Linked DNA regions of Schizosaccharomyces pombe. The protein of the gene in region 1 interacts with the protein of each later gene in a biochemical or structural test. Each region holds a gene or a part of one and is shown on either strand. Other genes may lie near its edges.

Evidence for each region.
Region 2: the proteins of rad24 (region 1) and clp1 form a complex in vitro, tested with the Schizosaccharomyces pombe proteins (one study listed by BioGRID).
Region 3: the proteins of rad24 (region 1) and cdc25 form a complex in vitro, tested with the Schizosaccharomyces pombe proteins (2 studies listed by BioGRID).
Region 4: the proteins of rad24 (region 1) and cdc11 form a complex in vitro, tested with the Schizosaccharomyces pombe proteins (one study listed by BioGRID).

Annotation. Positions count from the first base shown.
Region 1 is NC_003424.3:3,382,549-3,386,228, reverse strand, and holds rad24 (14-3-3 protein Rad24), read right to left. Parts: upstream 2,003-3,680; 5' UTR 1,962-2,002; coding exon 1,892-1,961; exon of another isoform or gene 1,693-1,891; intron 1,485-1,692; coding exon 742-1,484; 3' UTR 544-741; downstream 1-543. Other genes in the region: inv2 (beta-fructofuranosidase), read right to left, coding at 1-182; RecA family ATPase Dmc1, read right to left, coding at 2,825-3,680. UniProt on the Schizosaccharomyces pombe protein: Acts in cell cycle and stress checkpoint signaling by sequestering signal transducers regulated by the checkpoints. Required for the DNA damage checkpoint that ensures that DNA damage is repaired before mitosis is attempted.
Region 2 is NC_003424.3:4,769,434-4,773,491, reverse strand, and holds clp1 (Cdc14 family protein phosphatase Clp1), read left to right. Parts: upstream 1-1,775; 5' UTR 1,776-1,832; coding exon 1,833-1,881; exon of another isoform or gene 1,882-1,936; coding exon 1,937-3,501; downstream 3,502-4,058. Other genes in the region: box H/ACA snoRNP complex subunit Nhp2, read left to right, coding at 346-810; exonuclease Rex3, read left to right, coding at 3,963-4,058. UniProt on the Schizosaccharomyces pombe protein: Protein phosphatase which antagonizes mitotic cyclin-dependent kinase cdc2, the inactivation of which is essential for exit from mitosis. To access its substrates, is released from nucleolar sequestration during mitosis.
Region 3 is NC_003424.3:478,671-484,250, forward strand, and holds cdc25 (protein tyrosine phosphatase (M phase inducer) Cdc25), read right to left. Parts: upstream 3,704-5,580; 5' UTR 3,616-3,703; exon of another isoform or gene 3,516-3,615; 5' UTR 2,871-3,515; coding exon 1,080-2,870; 3' UTR 558-1,079; downstream 1-557. Other genes in the region: DNA replication pre-initiation complex subunit Sld3, read right to left, coding at 1-26; hxk1 (hexokinase 1), read right to left, coding at 4,777-5,580.
Region 4 is NC_003421.2:2,048,573-2,054,177, forward strand, and holds cdc11 (SIN component scaffold protein cdc11), read right to left. Parts: upstream 4,032-5,605; 5' UTR 3,981-4,031; coding exon 843-3,980; 3' UTR 558-842; downstream 1-557. Other genes in the region: protein mug33, read left to right, coding at 1-374; serine/threonine protein phosphatase PP6 catalytic subunit Ppe1, read left to right, coding at 5,046-5,605. UniProt on the Schizosaccharomyces pombe protein: Essential for the onset of septum formation. Involved in the organization of astral microtubules during mitosis. Acts as a bridge between sid4 and the other SIN proteins mediating their association with the spindle pole body (SPB).

The DNA.
Region 1 (3,680 bases):
AGTAATTTCCATTTATACAGGTTTTTACTCACTGCATGGCCCCAATGTTGATTACCGGCTTGGTTTCCTGTTGGATTCCATTGAAAAAACAAATGCCATTTTCCATTACTGTAAACCAGACCATTGGGATCATTCATAAATCCTTCTGGAGGCGTGAAATGTATGCATGGTCTCACAGGCATCGATTCAAATGTTTACTGTGCGTTTTATATGCAAACTTAAAGCTTTTATATTTAATAATGTTTGAGTATCACTAGAACATACAAATTTTTAAGCTTTGTGTAAAAAGTGGTACATCGGTCGTATGCAAGGAATATTAAGCAATTCGGTGCAAATCAGTCAAAAAGCTCAAATTCAATCCGATAGGCTTAAACATTCTCAATCTACCAACTCTTCAGTTTGAAACTCACATCTATCTAGACTATTGCTTGATTAACTCAACACCCACTTAGCCAAGCAAATCATTACGGGTTGTGTACTCGAAATTAAAATGTCGTCCAACTACTGTATTTTTTACAGCAGCTACCAAATACACACATATACTACGACTGTAAAAAAAAAAGAAATTTAAAGAAAGACAAAAAGAAAAAAAAATTAGAAGAAAATATACGAGAATGTAATGAGACTATTCCATCGTGTAGTACACAAGATCTAAACGAAAAAGAACTCTTAGACAAATAAATTTTTTAAAATTGGTTCATAGTAGTGAAAGTATGGCATCAATCATGAGCAACGAGCTATCTATGCGTCCGCCTTGGGCTCAGCTTCGCCTTCTGGAGCATTGGAAGGAGCGTTTTCTTGAGCTCCCTCGGTGTTACCACCAGCAGCGGCGGCACTGTATTCAGCATCAGAAGTCCATAAGGTAAGGTTGTCACGCAACAATTGCATGATTAAAGTAGAATCTTTGTAGGATTCCTCGGAAAGGCTGTCCAACTCGGAGATAGCTTCATCAAAGGCTTGCTTGGCTAAGTAGCAAGCACGGTCGGGGGAGTTCAAGATCTCATAGTAGAAAACGGAGAAATTAAGAGCAAGACCTAAGCGGATAGGATGAGTAGGTGCAAGTTCGGCGGTAGCAATTTCAGAAGCGGCCTTGTAACCTTCAAGAGATTGATCAGCGGAGTGTTGGCGCTTCTCACCAACGGCAAACTCAGCAAGGTAACGATAGTAGTCACCCTTCATCTTGTAGTAGAAAACCTTGGATTCGGCAGAGGCAGCATTAGGGATAAGGTGCTTCTCAAGAACGGTCAAGATATCTTGGCAAATAGTGTCAAGTTCTTGTTCAATCTTTTGACGATATTCCTTAATTAATTCAACTTGAGCAGTATTGCCTTTGCTCTCCTCCTTTTGCTCGATGGAGGAAACGATACGCCAAGACGCCCGGCGAGCTCCAATTACATTCTTATAAGCAACAGAGAGCAAGTTACGCTCTTCGACGGTCAATTCTTGATCAGTGGAGGCAACGCTTTTCATGTTTTCAACCATGCCTGGATATATTAGTGATAAGTACATAAGGATTTCGACTTTCGAGATGCGCAGCATGATGTATTTTCCGTATGTCTGTATGAACAAAAAAATTTCTTCTCGGAGTAAAAACAATTAGAAATAAAGTTAGGAAACAAGTTGAAATACTAAAACACCTTTTCAACATCACCATAGCCAATGCACAGTTCATTTGACAACCACCATACAACACACAAACACAAACATTCTACCAACTAAGCCTCTGATCACAACTATGTCAAAAATAAATGCAATCGATGTTTTACAGGAAGCCCGCTTACTCAAAAGCTTCCGCCGATAGAACCTTGGATGTGTGTAATTTTGTTCTTGCAGAAATAACACCAAATATATCTCTGCTCTACGCGTCTCTAAACCTTATAAAAGCACATACCTTCATAGCGCTCGGCTTGCTCAGCAAGTTTGGCTAAATAAACAGCATCTTCACGAGAAGTAGTAGACATTTTTACCAAACGTTCGAAAATGTGAGTATATCGTGGTGGTTGGCACTGGAAAGGTTGCGGAACGTCGTATGGTAGAAAAAGGACTGCTCCCACAGTAAAATTTCGTAGCACTGCGTAAACGTGCCCTGTGCTTCTGTATGTCGAATTTAGCGACTGCGCATCGTAATTTATCGGCACGACAGAAGGTTATCGAAAAACCTGGCTGCTGGACTGTTCTCGTTTGTTGCGACAAAGCCCCGGGGTAAACACATCCTTGGCAACGGATCAAGAGAAACTGTACCCCTTTTGTCATATTGACGCAAAAGGTAAACATCGAAAGGAAGGTGCCTGAACACGTGCAAATCTGCAGGCCTTCATAGAATCGGGAAATAAACTGGAACAAAGGTGATGACGAATTCTGTCTCACACGATATAATTGTTTGGTGGAAGTCAGATTGTCCAACGATTGCAATGAAAGGCGCTCAGCTTTTGTTAATTGATACATGCGATAGCAACTTCACATGACACTACTTAAACAAATTTGTTGACTCGTAAGAATAAGTTGCTTTTGGGGGTTTGCGCCATTCGCAACTATTTGATAAATGTGTAGTTAAGAAAATCTTGGTTTGGTTATCTAAAATGGCGCGAGCTTCTCATCCAAACTTTTTCTTTAAAGCCATTTTAGAGACCAATAGTGAACTGATTATTGTATTAAAGATATAGTATTGCAGCAGTAAAATGTTAACATTAACGTAATCAGTGCACTCAATTTTGTTAAAACATAAGCACAAACGCAATGATAAAAGGCATTGCTGAACTTGGCTGATCTTTTTTCTTATTTCTCTTCTTTTTTTGTTTTTTTTTTGGAATAGGTAGAAAATCAATTAGGAAACGTCTGCTATGCCACCAGGTGTAATCACATAACTGCACTCGGCTTCAGGCATATCTGGAGAATCATTCAATTTTGCGACACGTTCCTCACCTCGACCTTTTCTTAACAGCAGACGGGTCGCGCTTGCGTGAGCCATGACATGGCCTCCTACAGGTTTTCGATCGTTGGACGCAAACATCATTGCTGCTCCGGGGTCTGCTTGAACCTGATTTGTGACAAAGACCGCTACGTTAAACTCTTCAGAAATATGATTTAATCTAGCAAGCATAATGTTTAATTTTTGTTGCCTTTCTGATAATTCCCCGCGACCCGAATAGTCAACCCGAAATAGTGCCATGATGGAATCGACAATTAACAAACGGTATTGGCCATCTTCAGCAAAAATGGTTCCTAATTTTGTGATGTATTCCATTTGTTGCTCAGAGTTGTATGCTCTACTGACAATGATATTCTCCATAGCCTGATCGGCGTCTACACCAAATCGTTCTGCAATGGCTTTGATTCGATCAGGTCGAAATGTTCCTTCTGTATCTATGAATGCTACTTTTCCTTCGGCCCCGCCCATATCTCGAGGAAGCTGGGCAGTGACACACAATGTATGCGACATTTGTGTTTTACCACAACGAAACTCTCCAAATACTTCTGTAATACTCATCGACTGAATTCCCCCTCCAAGGATGCCATTGAGTGCCTCGGATCCTGTCGAAATACTCCATACTTTTTTACGATTTTGACTGATTTCCATCGCAGTGGAAAAGTTTGCTGGGCACATTTTTGATGCCGCTTCCTTCAGTTTATCCACTTTGGCTTCGCTGAAACCTTTGATTTTAAGGAGAAATCTCTTTGTG
Region 2 (4,058 bases), 1.4 Mb from region 1:
TGAGCGCTTAGTTCATTTAGTTGATTTGGCCTTTTTAAGTGCTGTTTCGGTTGTCTAAATAAATACAAATGATTATATAATCTTAGGACTAGTCAGGGAGTTTAAAATAGTATCTTTAAGTAGGGAAGACAGCAACATCTATTTACAGTAAATTTTTCCAATACTCCGTTCGTGGAATAGTAGGCATTATGTCAATTTAAGGAATATTACCAAAGCTGGTATCTTAAAATTACGTATTATACAGATGGCTTAACAGACTATTATCCGCTACATAGCGTTACTGAAAAAAGTTTTATTGGGATCATCTTTTGGGCTTCCAAACTTATCCTTCTCCATTTCTTTATCATGGCAAAAGATAAAAAAGACCATAAGCATAGTGGAAGCACCGAAGATGAGTATGATTCATATCTTCCTGCTTTAATGCCAATTGCTAAGCCTTTAGCTCCTAAAAAATTGAACAAAAAAATGATGAAGACTGTCAAGAAGGCTTCGAAGCAGAAACACATCCTTCGTGGGGTCAAAGAGGTTGTAAAGGCTGTTAGAAAAGGAGAGAAGGGTCTTGTAATTCTTGCTGGTGATATTTCTCCCATGGATGTTATATCTCATATTCCAGTATTATGTGAAGACAATAATGTCCCTTACTTATATACTGTTTCCAAAGAGTTGCTTGGTGAAGCATCAAACACCAAGAGACCTACTAGCTGTGTTATGATTGTTCCCGGTGGAAAAAAGAAGGACATGTCTAAAGTTGAGGAGTACAAGGAAAGCTACGAGGAAATTATAAAAGAAGTACCTGCTCTTGAAGTTTAATTGTTCAATATCTAAAAGATGCTTAGCCATTTAATGTAGATTATTATATACTATTAAAATTTGGTATTTATCCTGGGATTTAACTTTTGGTATATCATGTCTGTTTGCTTGATAGTAAGCGAAAAGAAGTTTTGCTTAATGGTCGGTTTTAAGGTTTCAAAAAATTTCCTTTTTAATCTAGTGTTTTATCATTCTTTCTTATGCCCTAGTATTTTATGGGTTTAGACTGGTTTGCGAGCAAACTAATCACTATACCTCCAAAACTTTGTTAGCAATAATATCGTATCATTTACCAACTTATATGAGAATGGTATATCGCTGTAACAGCGATGAAATATCAACTGATTTTTCCTCAAATTTCGTTTACGCTGATCGTTTCATTACGGATTTAGCCTGTGTTTATTTCTAACTAGTTGCGCAAAAAAGTTTTATTATTCGTTTAGGTTGCTATTTAGTATTCAGAGGCGGCGTGTTAGAACCAGTTTACAACTAACTTAAATTTCACCCAACGTCGTTCTTACCATTATAATGTTTACAAATATTATGCTTTCCAGTGCTATCCATAAATGATAGATTAGGGTAGCTTTAAAGGTCCGGCAATTATATGGTTATCTATCCGGATTTTGTTATCGGATTTAAATATATTTGCTAAAACAAATCGAATTTCAGATAAAAAAGTTGGGTTGTATTTGTATGAGCAAAAAGTATTCTGTATGTTTATCATAAATTGATGTGCATTTTTACTTACTTTGTAAGATAATGATTATTGTTGTTTATTTACTATAGTGTTGCTAAAAGTTAATGTCTTTTTTTTTTTAATAAAGAGAAAAGATTAAATGTCAACATAACGTTGTGTATAGTTTAGAATCCACTTTTGTCTTCATTTGTTTCGCACCCCACATATTTTCTTGTGCATTATCATCCCTTCTATTTACAAGGACCACCAACACCCAGGTACACAATTTAGAACTCAACCATTACGGGTTTGACGAATATAGACGAGATTCGCAATTACTTGTCTGATGGATTACCAAGATGATGGGCTTGGTGAAATGATTGAGTTTTTGGAGGGTATGCATGAAGTTTAACTCAAATATCTCGTAAAATTGATTAACATGTTAAATAGACAAGTTATACTACACATCATTGTCGCAACCACCTAAAGCCGAGTTATATCCTCATATGCATTTTTTTACTATCGATGATGAATTGATCTACAACCCTTTTTATCATGACTTTGGTCCGCTGAACGTGAGTCATCTTATTAGATTTGCAGTGATAGTTCATGGTATCATGGGAAAACACAGACAAGCTAAGAAAAGCAAGGCTATAGTTTTATATTCTTCTACAGATACAAGGTTGCGTGCAAATGCCGCTTGTTTGTTAGCTTGCTACATGGTGTTAGTACAAAACTGGCCTCCACATCTCGCATTAGCCCCTTTAGCTCAGGCAGAACCTCCTTTTTTGGGGTTTAGAGATGCGGGATATGCTGTTTCAGATTACTATATCACGATTCAAGATTGTGTTTACGGACTGTGGAGAGCACGAGAGAGCAGCATACTAAATATACGTAATATCGATGTTCATGACTATGAAACTTATGAAAGAGTGGAGAATGGAGATTTTAATTGGATATCTCCTAAGTTTATAGCATTTGCAAGTCCTATTCAGGCTGGTTGGAATCATGCGAGCACACGTCCAAAGAAACTTCCTCAACCGTTTGCGATAGTTCTCGATTATTTCGTCGCTAATAAGGTCAAACTGATAGTTAGGCTTAATGGACCTCTTTACGATAAAAAGACTTTTGAAAATGTTGGAATTCGACATAAAGAGATGTATTTTGAGGATGGCACAGTTCCAGAGCTTTCTCTTGTCAAAGAGTTTATTGACCTTACCGAGGAAGTAGAAGAAGACGGTGTGATTGCTGTTCATTGCAAAGCAGGGCTCGGACGTACTGGATGCTTAATTGGCGCATATTTAATATACAAACATTGTTTTACTGCTAATGAAGTTATTGCTTACATGAGAATAATGCGTCCTGGAATGGTTGTAGGTCCACAACAGCATTGGTTACATATTAATCAAGTTCATTTCCGTGCATATTTTTACGAAAAGGCGATGGGAAGAGCAATCCAACAGGCCACCGCTGCGGAACCCTTAGCTACTCCTCCTCGCCATCCATTGAATGCTACGAATGGTACCTCTCAAAGCAATATCAGTACTCCTCTTCCAGAACCAACGCCTGGCCAACCGAGAAAAGTTTCTGGACATAATCCACCGTCGGCGAGACGTCTCCCTTCAGCGTCCTCTGTCAAATTTAATGAGAAACTTAAAAATGCTTCCAAGCAATCAATCCAAAATGAGAACAAAGCGTCATACAGTAGTTACGAAGATTCAGAAATACAAAATGATGATGAAACACGGACTGTTGGAACTCCAACTGAAACAATTTCAGTGGTTCGCTTGCGTCGCTCATCAAGTCAAAGCAATATCGAACCAAATGGAGTTCGTTCTCCGACATCCTCACCAACTGGTAGTCCAATTCGACGTACAAGTGGAAATAGGTGGTCTAGTGGGTCTAGTCATTCTAAAAAAAGTGCTCAGCGAAGTGTTAGCATGTCATCACTTAACAATACTTCTAATGGCCGTGTTGCTAAACCTAAGCCTTCTAAAAGCCGGCTAATTTCTTAATAAACCTGTAATTACTGGTTTAAATGGCAGTTTTTACATTCCTTTTTTTCATATAAACTAACTTTGAATTATACTGTGTCAACCCTGCATAATTTTTCATTAATTAACTTTACAAATATTCCCTGATTTAGCGCACCTTTGCGCGGTGGGGATCACCACCATTAATGTCTTAGCTATCCTTTTTGTTAACTAACATTCATATTTCTTTGGAAAAAACTTTGGCTTTTTGCAAGCCATGGTTAATGATTTTAATCGAGAAATTGTTTTGGTTATGATATAAAAAGTCTTTGTTTTTTATTACGAATTTCAAGATTTCGCCATTCTATTTTTGGCTGAAGAGGTTCTTTCGCGGGTGCATGGTATCTTTGTTCGTAGCGGTACATTTTATTATATTTTGCTTGAGAATTTTTATCTAAATTCCCAACGGAAATCTGCCTACTTGTTGTACCTAATTTGCTTCAATGTTTTCACCTTTGGGTCAGTTTAAGCACATAGTTTGTCCATTTCTACGAACTGGACGCAAATGTCAGTCTAGGAATTGTTTCTTTAGTCATGAC
Region 3 (5,580 bases), 2.9 Mb from region 1:
TTCTTGGAAGCATGGTCGTTATTCATAAAGATACCAAAATCTTTAAATTAGTGTACCTAAAAAGATTTGTTTGTTTGAACATTAAGTGCTCTGCAAACTTTCATACTTAAACAATTCGTTATTTATGATTACGAGGTTTATCCTACAATGTATTAAATACAATCGTTGGCGTTCAAAGCTGCACTTCATAGGGCGTTGATGTCATAATCAATAAAATTCATATAAGCGAATTTAAGGTTGACTTAGATGACGACATTCTGATTGTTGCAAATAAAAAGTAAACAAAACAAAATCTACAAATATCTTCAAATTTTAAAAAAGCACACATATGATTCACTTTCTCAACGGAACATGTTTAAATTTTTACCAAAAAAGTAGTATTGATTAAAAATTTTCGTAATTTTTTTTTTGGGAAGGTACTTAAGTGTGAATGTCCAACTTCCGCATTGTAACTATTTTATATCACATAAAACTTCGTAACTCTCTGGTGAACTTAACCTTCCATTGGAAAGGGTAAGCTACAATACTACCGCTTACAGAACATGCATAAAAGGAAGTGATTTAAAAATAAAAGTTTTATTCGTTTTCTACTTAAATATTTCCATCAGAGATGGTTAGGTAGAGTTACAAAAACGTAAGCAACTCAGTTCCTATCGCATTACTGCTTCAATCAAAGAATGCTAAATTCTTAGCATTCCTATCAACAGCAATTGCGAGAAGAGCAATTAGAATGGACTTCGGTACGTATGTTTACCCGTGATTGCTTAGAAATTATTAAGCTCAATTGATTATAAAATAATCAATTATTAAACCAAAATCCATGCGTAATAATAATAACCAAACTAGTCGTTCTAGATATTTAGTCGTAAAAGTGATGTACTTCGAAAAGTTTAGCCAGTTTAAATTTTTTGTTGTCGAGACCTTTTAAAAGGTATATTGCTTTCTTTCAATAATAATAATAAAAAATAGAAATAAAAGGTTTCATGATTCAAAGTTTATAGAAAAAACTTAGGTTTAGAAAGTTGAATATATAAGAGTATACTTCAGGCTAGGTAAAGTATTGAGTCAGCCTAAAATCATTAAAATCTTCTAAGTGTAGAGAGGGAATGCATGGCAGTAGGAGAATCATTAACGTCTGGGGAAGCTAACACACTTTGGCCAAAAGTATAACTTTTAGTACGCATAAAAGTAGCGTTTCGTTTGAAATTATTCATAGCCTTGGTGCAGGTCATAACATGCGAAGCATCGTTCATCGGAACGTAGTTAATTGGGTCACAACGGTTTTTGTGGTTTTCGTAAAACGACTTGTAACCACCATGAAGTATATAAACCTCGGGATAGTAAAGGAAAGGATAACGATGACTATTCATTCGTCTGTCGGTATTTCGAAAGTGCAATGCCAAATGAGGTGCTCTGTGCGCACTATGTTCACAATGAAAAACAAGTGCAACCCGATGAGTAAGAGGTTTACTTAAAAAGGCATCCACAATAGCTTGTTTCGTATTTAAATTCACAGCAGTGCTAATATGGCCCCCAAGGTATTCATATTCAAAACGGCAATCAATAATGATGCATTTGTCAAAAATATCCTTAAATTTACCATCTAATAGACCGAGCAATGTTTCTTGGGTAATTCGTTTCAATGAGTCCTCCTTCACGGCGAAGCAAGGAAGAGATAAATCCTCGACATGAGAAGAGATGAAGCGCTCACTTTCTTTGGTCGATTGTTTTGGCGTAACGCACACAAGATCTTGGCTTTTGAAAAGCCCTAGTCTTGTGGAATTGAGAAACATGCTTTGGGTACGACGAAGCACTGGTGTATCTTGCTCATCATATTCCGCATCTTCTTGCATAGCGAATGCCATCGGAGAAGGGGACCTAACTTTCAAGCTAGGAAAGGCAATATCTTTATTTATCTTGGGTAACATATCAATAGGTTTAATGGGTGAAGCTTGAAAAAGATCATCTAAAGAATTATCATTGCAAGCACCAAAATCACTGTTGGGACGTTGAATAGAGGCAGCGTCTTCAACAAGTTCAACAGAGCTTTCTGGTAAATCAGCAACCTTGCCCATCGTAAATGTATCCTCATGATCAGACATTAATTCGAAATCATCCGTATCATCAGTAAGACAACTTTCAAGTAAGCTGGTCGTGTTGCTCGACTGACTACAGGTACGGGATAAGGCATAAGTCAAATGGCGGGTAGCTTGTCCACCAGAAGTTCCCTTCTTTTTGTTAATGGAATATGAGGAACTCGATCTGGATCGCAAAAATGGGGGTGCGTTGCCTGATGATCGAGAACGTGAGACGTTAGGACGAAGGTAGGAATCAAAAGAAGAACTCGATAATGACGAACGAGTAGCTTCGCTTTTGGTGGTGTTTAATGCGATTGATGCTTTAGGCTTAAAGCTGTAAGCAATAGTGCTGGAAACACGTGGGGAATCTTGGGTAATGGAATACTTCGATGCAGGTTGCCGGAAGAAGTAGGACTCGGTTAAAGCGTCATTCGAGGGTGACTCCGGGAGAGGTGAAACAATAGTCTTGTTAGCGAGAGGGGTTTCTACAGTACAAGAAAGAGATCGAAAGAGCGTACGACGAGGAGTCGGTAAGGCAGGGCTTTCATCGATATGCATGTTCATTGACATATCAGCAGCTAAGGAAGATGCAGGTGAAGCTGTCGAACAAGTTTTTCCAAAAGGATCCACTAATGTTGAGGCAATGTGTTTGGATTTCGGGAAGAAAAAATCCAGCTCTTGATTTGCATTGCGATCCGACATCAACTTTAATTCACGGGCAGCAGGACGCAATACATTCCGTTTGCCAGATAGAGTGTTGGTAAAGGAAAGTGAAGAAAGCGGAGAATCCATTTTAGTTGAGGTTTAACTATTATTAAAAGCAGACAAAATGGTAAATTTAATTTAAACCAAGTACACTGCAAAAAGAACTAATGGGACGACACGACTGCAAAAGATTGAGTTTCAGAATGAGAAATCAATAGAGCAAGTAAGATAAATTATAAAGGAAAATCCTAGGGAAGAGTCAAAAGACCGGTTTAAGATATTAATGCCAAAGTGAGACAAAAAGAAAACTAAAAGAAAGACAGGATGAAAGCAATATAGCCAAATATTAAACAAAACCAACCTTTACAAAAGAAACCGGAAAGAAGTTTAAGTAAGTTTAGACTCCACACGACGGGAAGACCGAATAAAAGTATATAAAAAAAAAGAGATTAATGAGACAAAAATAGATGAGCACCAACGGTCACGACTATAATATAGAATATAAAAGATACTGTCGTTGAAAGAAAAAATGAAAGAAAAAAGAAAGTTAAAAGAAAGCAGTTGATTAATATGAAAACAACAGAATACCCAAAAGTTCAGACTCAAAGTTCGTTACAAGTAATAAACCCCCCACTTTACCATATAAAGGCTTCTTGAACAAATAACTTCAAGAATCCTATTAATTGCCTTAAAAAGCGTAAGCAATTGTATTATAGACGTTTCAAAAAATCACTGAACCAGCAGTTAGTACTTGAGAAGCATCAACAGGAATCCAACTTGAGGAGAGAAGGATGCCCGAAACTAACAGGCATCAAGTTCTTTTTAAACTTACAACTTTGGTATTCTTAAGAATAATATTTTCAATGTAATACACTTGATCTAAAGGAGAAGAGCTTGAAGCGCTGTAGATAGTTGAGGGTAGAGAGAAATCTCAGCTCTGCCTCCGAGAGGAAAAAAAAGCAAAGGTAACAACAACAATAAAACACCAACCAACAAATTCGAGTAACAGAAAACAATAATAAAAACAAATACATGATTAAAGCAAAGTTAAACTGTAAGCTGTAATACTTAGCCAACACCTCAGCCATGACAACTATTGTTGTATAGTTTAGTTGCGTAGATAATGCCGTTTCAAGCTACAATATGTCACCTCTTAATCTATTAATTATATAAAAGCAAATAATCATTTCATTAACAACATTGAACTAGATGAAAACACATAAATTTTTGCATCTTGTATGTTTGTTTACATGTCCATACATCTCAGCTATTCGATCCACCGCAGTTTGTCTGATTTGTTGCCCTAGCAACGCCAAATGTTGTGTATGTGTAAACAAATACATAAGAACAAACGTCAGGTAACCTGCTTGACAGCCATTAAATCCCCATAATCTCATACCCGCACTCCTGATATGTAACACGAGCAGCGAGATAAAATATGTTATCAGGTGTTAGCGAATAATCGTAACACGATGAATCTCTCTACTTCGGGACTCGGACTGTCATTCCGAATTGGAAAACGAGGGTGTAACTCATTGAAAGTCTCCCGATGTTATGTAGCTATGGGTTGATACCATTATTGTCGTAGTAGGCATATTTCGCAAGATAGTATAGCCAGTTGTCTTGTTAAACTCGGATATCTTCAACAAAGATACCGCTATTATTACACTTCAACATACAAAATATAACAAAACTCTAACCTTTATTTAAAGTATTCTAGCAATCAGAGGCAGATATCGTATCCACAGAAACACTAGAGCAAAAAAGAAAATATTTTATCAGGTGGAGCACCTTTTTGTAAAAACGCCCTGATACGTGATTAGTAGACAAAGAAAAGTGTAACCATAAAAATTGCTGGAACAAATTGTACGCAAAAAGATGGAGTATGAAACAAATAAAAAGTGCAGTATAAAACAGTTTGTCGAACACTTCGTGGAGTTCAGTGACACAAAATCAAATGAGTATCCGTAAAACCTAAAAACAATGAGTGGACTTAATTCTTAAGATGCTCGGCAAGAATATCAGAAGTGAGGGCCTTGCCTTTGGCTTCAAGAGCACTGACCAATGCAGCACCTACGCCACTACCGTCTTCGGCGGGGATGGTAACAACTTTGCTGCCAATTTCCTCACCAAGGATATCCTTAAATGCTTGAGCAAGACGATCCTTAAAACGAGGGTATAAGTTGTAGACACTACCATCAGTACCTACAATCATAGATGGCTTATTCATTTTACGAACAAGGGCGCATACACCACACGCAGAAAGACGGGCAGAACGAGTTCCAATCAATTCGCATGCACGACGAATGAATTGACGCTCTTCTTCGGTGGTCTTGAGACCATAGGTTTCCTCAAATAGGGTTTGAGTTTCATCAAGGTTCTCAAAGGGGTCAACTTCAATAGCGCTGAGCACAGAGGTATCCATGGCCAAGGGGTCACGAATCTTGGTAACGTCCTGACCGTTAAAGAGAGCTCCCTGTTCATAAAGGTCAAGAAGAATACGACGCAAGATATCACCCAAATAGCATCCAGCAATCATTTTCTCGTACGTTTGAAGACCGGGTCTGGGAGACTCTTCATCAATAGCAACATCGTATTTGGTACGAGGAAGGACAACATGCTGGTTGTCAAAATCGCACCATTCACAGTTGATGATCATGTTCATATCTTCAGGGAAGTCATACTTATGAAGCTTAGGAATTTCTGAGAACTTTTCAATGTAACAAGCATTACATCCAGTTCCAAAGATGACACCAATCTCAGTACCTGGGCTGGCATAGTTGGAAGCAACCAATGT
Region 4 (5,605 bases), on another chromosome or scaffold:
AGGGAGACCTTCCCAAATTCAGCGATTATTCTGCCGAAAAGCCTATGTACGATACCATTTCCGAGGATGATGGTCTCAAGCGTGGAGGCTCTGTCTCAAAATTGAAGCCTACTTTTAGCAACGATAGTCGTTCTCTGTCTTCCTATGCCCCAACTGTTCGTGAGCCCGTTCCCGTTCCGAAATCTAACTCGGGCTTCCGCTTTCCGTTTATGCGCAATAAGCCTGCAGAACAGGCTCCTGAAAATCCGTTTAGAGATCCTGAAAATCCCTTTAAAGATCCCGCTTCAGCTCCAGCTCCAAATCCATGGTCGATTAATGATGTTCAAGCCAATAACGACAAGAAGCCCAGCAGATTTTCATGGGGCCGCTCGTAAATTATCGACCAATCGAGTTTTATCTATCATTTATCATCTCTACATGTTTTCTAATTTCACTTTCAAAGCATTTTTTAACCGTCCCCCCTTTACCTTTTTCCTTTATTTAGTTGATACTTATATGGTACATATGTGTGTGTTTAATGTCACTGTTTCTCAATAGAATTTATCTGTTTTAAGCTAGTTGAATGTAAGAAGAGTTGGAGGGGTTTTCTTTTATTTTTTATTCTTTCAATAGGGTTCTTTTTCTTTTTTTTTAATATATATATATTTTTAGACGACCTTCACGTTTCATTATGCTTATTCATTTTGTATGTGCCATCCAGAAATCGAATTATTATTTACACTATGGTAATGGCGAGTATTATGGTGTATTATGTATTGTGATTATTAACCTTTACACAACAGCGAAACAATCTTGCTATTTGAAAGGTAAAAATGTTTCAAGCTATATCTTCACAAGTCATACTAGTTGGATGATTTGGTGAATGCAGCGCGAGATGATTGTGAAACATCAGATCCATCCAACCATTCTAAGTGTGGACATGCCAATAAAATAGCTTCAGCATACATTTTTCTTCTTGTTCTCCATGCCTCAGACAAAGTGGAACTAAAGGCCAGCTCTTTCTCCTGCCATTGCTTTTGCGGGTCTTCTTTTCTATGATGACCTTTTTGGTTGATACTTTGTTGGTATTTTGAGGCTGCAGAGAGCTCATAAATAGAGTCGTCAATTACGGGATAAATGTTGAAATTAAGAGGATTCATGCGCAGATCCAGTACGTTTAACTGTTTCAGGTTTGCCAATATATCACATAAATTTCGCATCTTTTTGATTCTATTTCCCACTAAGTAAAGTCGGTGGATCATTTGCAATGGTTTCAGCGACTCTATGTCTGATATATAGTTATGTGATAAGTCCAATACACGTAAATTGGGCATACTGGTCGCAATGTATTTAGGTACTTCTTTGAGCTGAACGTTTGCAAGCTCCAGATACCTCACTCCCAGAAACATGTGCTTACAATCAAGAGTAACGAAGGTGTTATTCGATAGGTATAGATTTCGAATATCTAAAGAGGGTTGAATGACAAAATTGGAGGCTTCAGGATCTTGAGTCCTGAACGAAAAATTGACTAAGCGTTTTAGTCGACGGATGTCAGGGGGACGATTAAATCGATTAAGGTCCATGTATAAAGTTCGTAAATGAGGAAATTGATCTACCTCAAGTTGATGTATGGCGTTGTTGCTGATGCGTAAAATTCGCAAATGAATCATTGGTTGGCTAGCTTTCAAGTTGGTTAGTTTGTTATTGTCCAATTGTAAAACCATAAGGTTTTGAAGCGAACTTATTTCTTCGATTTCTTCTATTTCGTTATTTCCCAAGAGCAATTCCTCAAGACGATGAAGATTGGAATTCGTAAATGACAATTCTTTAATCCTGTTATTGCAAGCGCTTAATTTTAGCAATCCATCCAAATGTTGAATCCCATCTAAACTCCATAGATGATTACTGTCAACTTTCAACTCACGAAGGTGAATTAGAGAAGAAAGACCAGTAAGGTCCTCTAGTTGATTATATGATATGTCCAGATATTGTAGGTTTAATAGGTTGGAAAATGAAGTCAAACTTGACAATCGATTTTCAACAGCATTCAGGTCTCTTATCGTAACGGGGCATCCTGTTAAGTAAGCAATTTCATTTCCTTCCAACGTGAGCTCTTCAATAGAGGGACAGAGTTCAGAAAGTCCAATCAAGGAATCCAAATGTCGTCTACTGATGTCTAATTGTATAATCCTTTTCCAGAAAGGCTCATATGGTTCAACATCAGAAAGAATTTGAATTATGGATTGACGAGATACTGAAAAACTATATTCAGCATCTTTGTCGGCTTTACTTTTCAATCCAGAACCTGAAGAAATAAAAGGAATTGGTGACCCATTTTCATACCTGCCATTAAACATTTCATCAAAGCTCTCATTTTGTAAGGATAAATCGTGAAAGGAAGATAAAATTTGCGGAGCGTTTTCGCTATTGTCTCTTAATGAATGCTTAGGAAATTCGGATTGAGCAACATTTTGCTTACGCAAAGGAAAGGAATGAGGTTGTTGCTTCTCCAAATTGTTTGGATCATTGTTCGCTTGATGTCTGGTGGATGCCGCTTTAAACAGTATTGTACGCTCAGGATGCGAAAGACTAGCATCTTCGTCGGTTTCAAAATCAAAGCCCAAGTCTGAATCATGACCTTTTCTCCGCCACCGATTGTGTATCCTGTCAAATTCCATGGAGCCTTGAGTTGTATCTATGCCTTCAGGAAGATCTGCTGGCGTTATAACCACCATATTGGGATAATCAGACACTTTTCTTGAGCTTTGAGCAGAGTGACTTCTTCTGGTTTTAACACTGGAAGTTTTTAGCGTTGATTTGGGAGAGCTATTTAATCGGGCAGTCTTGGAAGAGGATTGTGAAGAGCCAACATCAATTTCCCGAAGTGGCATTTTATCGGTCATATATGCCTGGCGTTGAGGGGAGGAAGATGCGGATGGAAAGGAATCATCATTATCATTGAAAATTGAGGTAACCCTTTTCATACTTTGAAGACTTTTTAAATGAAGTTGATCACTTAAGGAGGGAAATGCATTAGAGCTATCTTCTTGACTTACTTCAACTGAAATTTCATCTTGTTCCTCCTCCTCACGAAGTCCGCTGAGCTTTCGAGGAAGAAAAATTGTAGATTCTCGTCCCGAATTAGGCATTCTTCCTCGCAATCTTGCCATGACTTCTTCAACCTCTTGATAGAGATCTTTGGTATTGAGGCTAGCCTTTCGTTCAGTTGTACGCATAGGTTTTTGTGGTCTTCGTGGTTCAGGGAGTGAAAATTGTTTTTCCCCATTTTCAAATGAATTGGACTTTACATCTTGAGTTAATTGATTCAAATGCTCACGAGTAAACGGATCACTAGCTCCTTGGAAAAGTTTAAGGGGGGATGTATTATTGGGCTTCAAGGAGGGAGAAGAAACAACGGATGAGGATGACGATGCATTGCTAGCATGGTCCGTATTTTGCTTTTCGTGAACCGAGTTAGACCTGGTATTAGATTGTTGACTTTTCAAGCTTCCTTCTGAGTATTTTTTGCTAAACTGAGAAGAGGAGATAGATTCTTTTTCGTAATCCTGTGAAACGAAAGGATCTTTAGAAGGAGAAGATTGCATGTTCGATACATTAGATAGTTTACCAACTGAAGAAGAACTACGCCTAGAAGAGTTATTACTGGACTTTTTGGACGGATTTTTTGTTGGAGACTTTGAAGGGGGGCTTTGTTTGCTGCTTTCTTCAAACATATTTTCCAAATCCAACCTTGCAAAAATATCACGAGCAACAGGGTTCTTTGCATTCACCTGTTTCCATTGAGGAACATCCGGAGCATCATTTCTTCCTTTCTTAAACGTTCCATGCTCTGTCGAAGTTCCTGAACTACCACGACCTGTAGATTGAGTATTGTTTACATTTGATGTGGTTGGTGGTTCACTAGAATTGTCTGACCCTTGTTCTTGTGGCTGCGGAATCCATTCTTCACTTAAATCATGTTCAAGCCATAACTGTTCCATGATTTCTGAAAAGCACACATACCTTCCATAGAAAAAAGAAGTTTTGTTTACGTCTATGAGACGCGACGGGATGTCGTGGTACTGGGACTCAATCACCCTTTTGCACAATTTGACATAGGATATTCAAGCGTATTCGTAATGCTGCTTATCATATTTTACGATATTTTCCACAATAAGGGTATAGCGTTATTTTGTTTGTTACGTTGAATTCCAGTAAATTTATTTATTCAGAAGGAAAATTATGGCCATAAGTATTTGAGGAAAAAATCAAAGCTATAAGTAGTTCTAAGAGTTGATAAACTTGTGCATGAGAGATTCACTTTATTCTGTTAACTCGGAAGACTCGATAAAAAACAATTAATAGCAATTGCTTCGGTAACCTTCTCTGTACGATTTTTCTTTTGCCTACGGTTTCGCATACTTGACGACGGAGATGCCATTTATATCAACAAGATATCATATATTCTTCATGACTTTGAAAGCTCTTTAGTAAGCAAGTTTTTCACAAGTTGGATCTACGCTTGCAACAATCTTCGAACTGATCCTAAATTCGCTTACTATATTTAAAGGTTATGGAAACGACACTTTTATTGTCGTTCTACAGACAACGTTTCTCGTTATGCTACTCTCTCATCTTCGCCTCATGACCTAGACTTTCAATCGTTTAAAACTCTACAAGTATTTATAATTTAAAGCAATCCCACCTCGGTAATTTAAGAAAATTTGCAACAAAATTTGACGTTAGCAATAAGGATAAAATGTGTTCGACGACATCCCAATTTAATCAGCGGACTATATAAATTTGTATATAAAAGGTCATTTCCACATGTAGACTTTTTCATACGACTTTTGAATGTACCAAACATCCATATCTGATAAAGACTTGGTACGCCGTTAATCGTTACAATACGTTAAACACCCCTCTTAAGTATTCAACGTACTAACTTACGTACTCTCCGCAAACAACATATTTAATTAGGAAGCCAATTTCTAAATAGGAAAGTATTGAGAAATAACTGTGTTTAATAATCTAGAAGAGATCCTTGAATAATTTGTGCTACAACGATGTTTGACTTGGATGAATGGATCGCTACAGTAAGGAAGTGTAAATATCTTCCAGAACACCAGTTGAAACGATTGTGTGAGATGGTAAAAGTTATTTTAATGGAGGAGTCCAATATCCAGCCTGTGCGGACTCCCGTTACTGTTTGTGGTGATATACATGGTCAGTTTTACGACCTTTTGGAACTGTTTCGAGTAGGTGGAGAATTGCCAAGCACAAATTATATATTTATGGGTGATTTTGTGGATCGAGGTTATTTTAGCTTAGAAACTTTTACGTTATTTATGCTTTTGAAAGCAAGGTACCCAGATAAAATTACATTGCTTCGTGGTAATCACGAAAGTCGCCAGATCACTCAAGTCTACGGGTTTTATGATGAGTGTCAAACCAAATATGGAAATGCAAATGTTTGGAAATATTGTTGCCAAGTTTTTGATTTTTTGACTTTGGCAGCGGTTATCGATAACAAAATTTTATGCGTGCATGGTGGATTATCTCCGGAAGTTCGCACATTGGATCAGATTCGTATTCTTGCGCGTGCTCAAGAAATTCCCCATGAAGG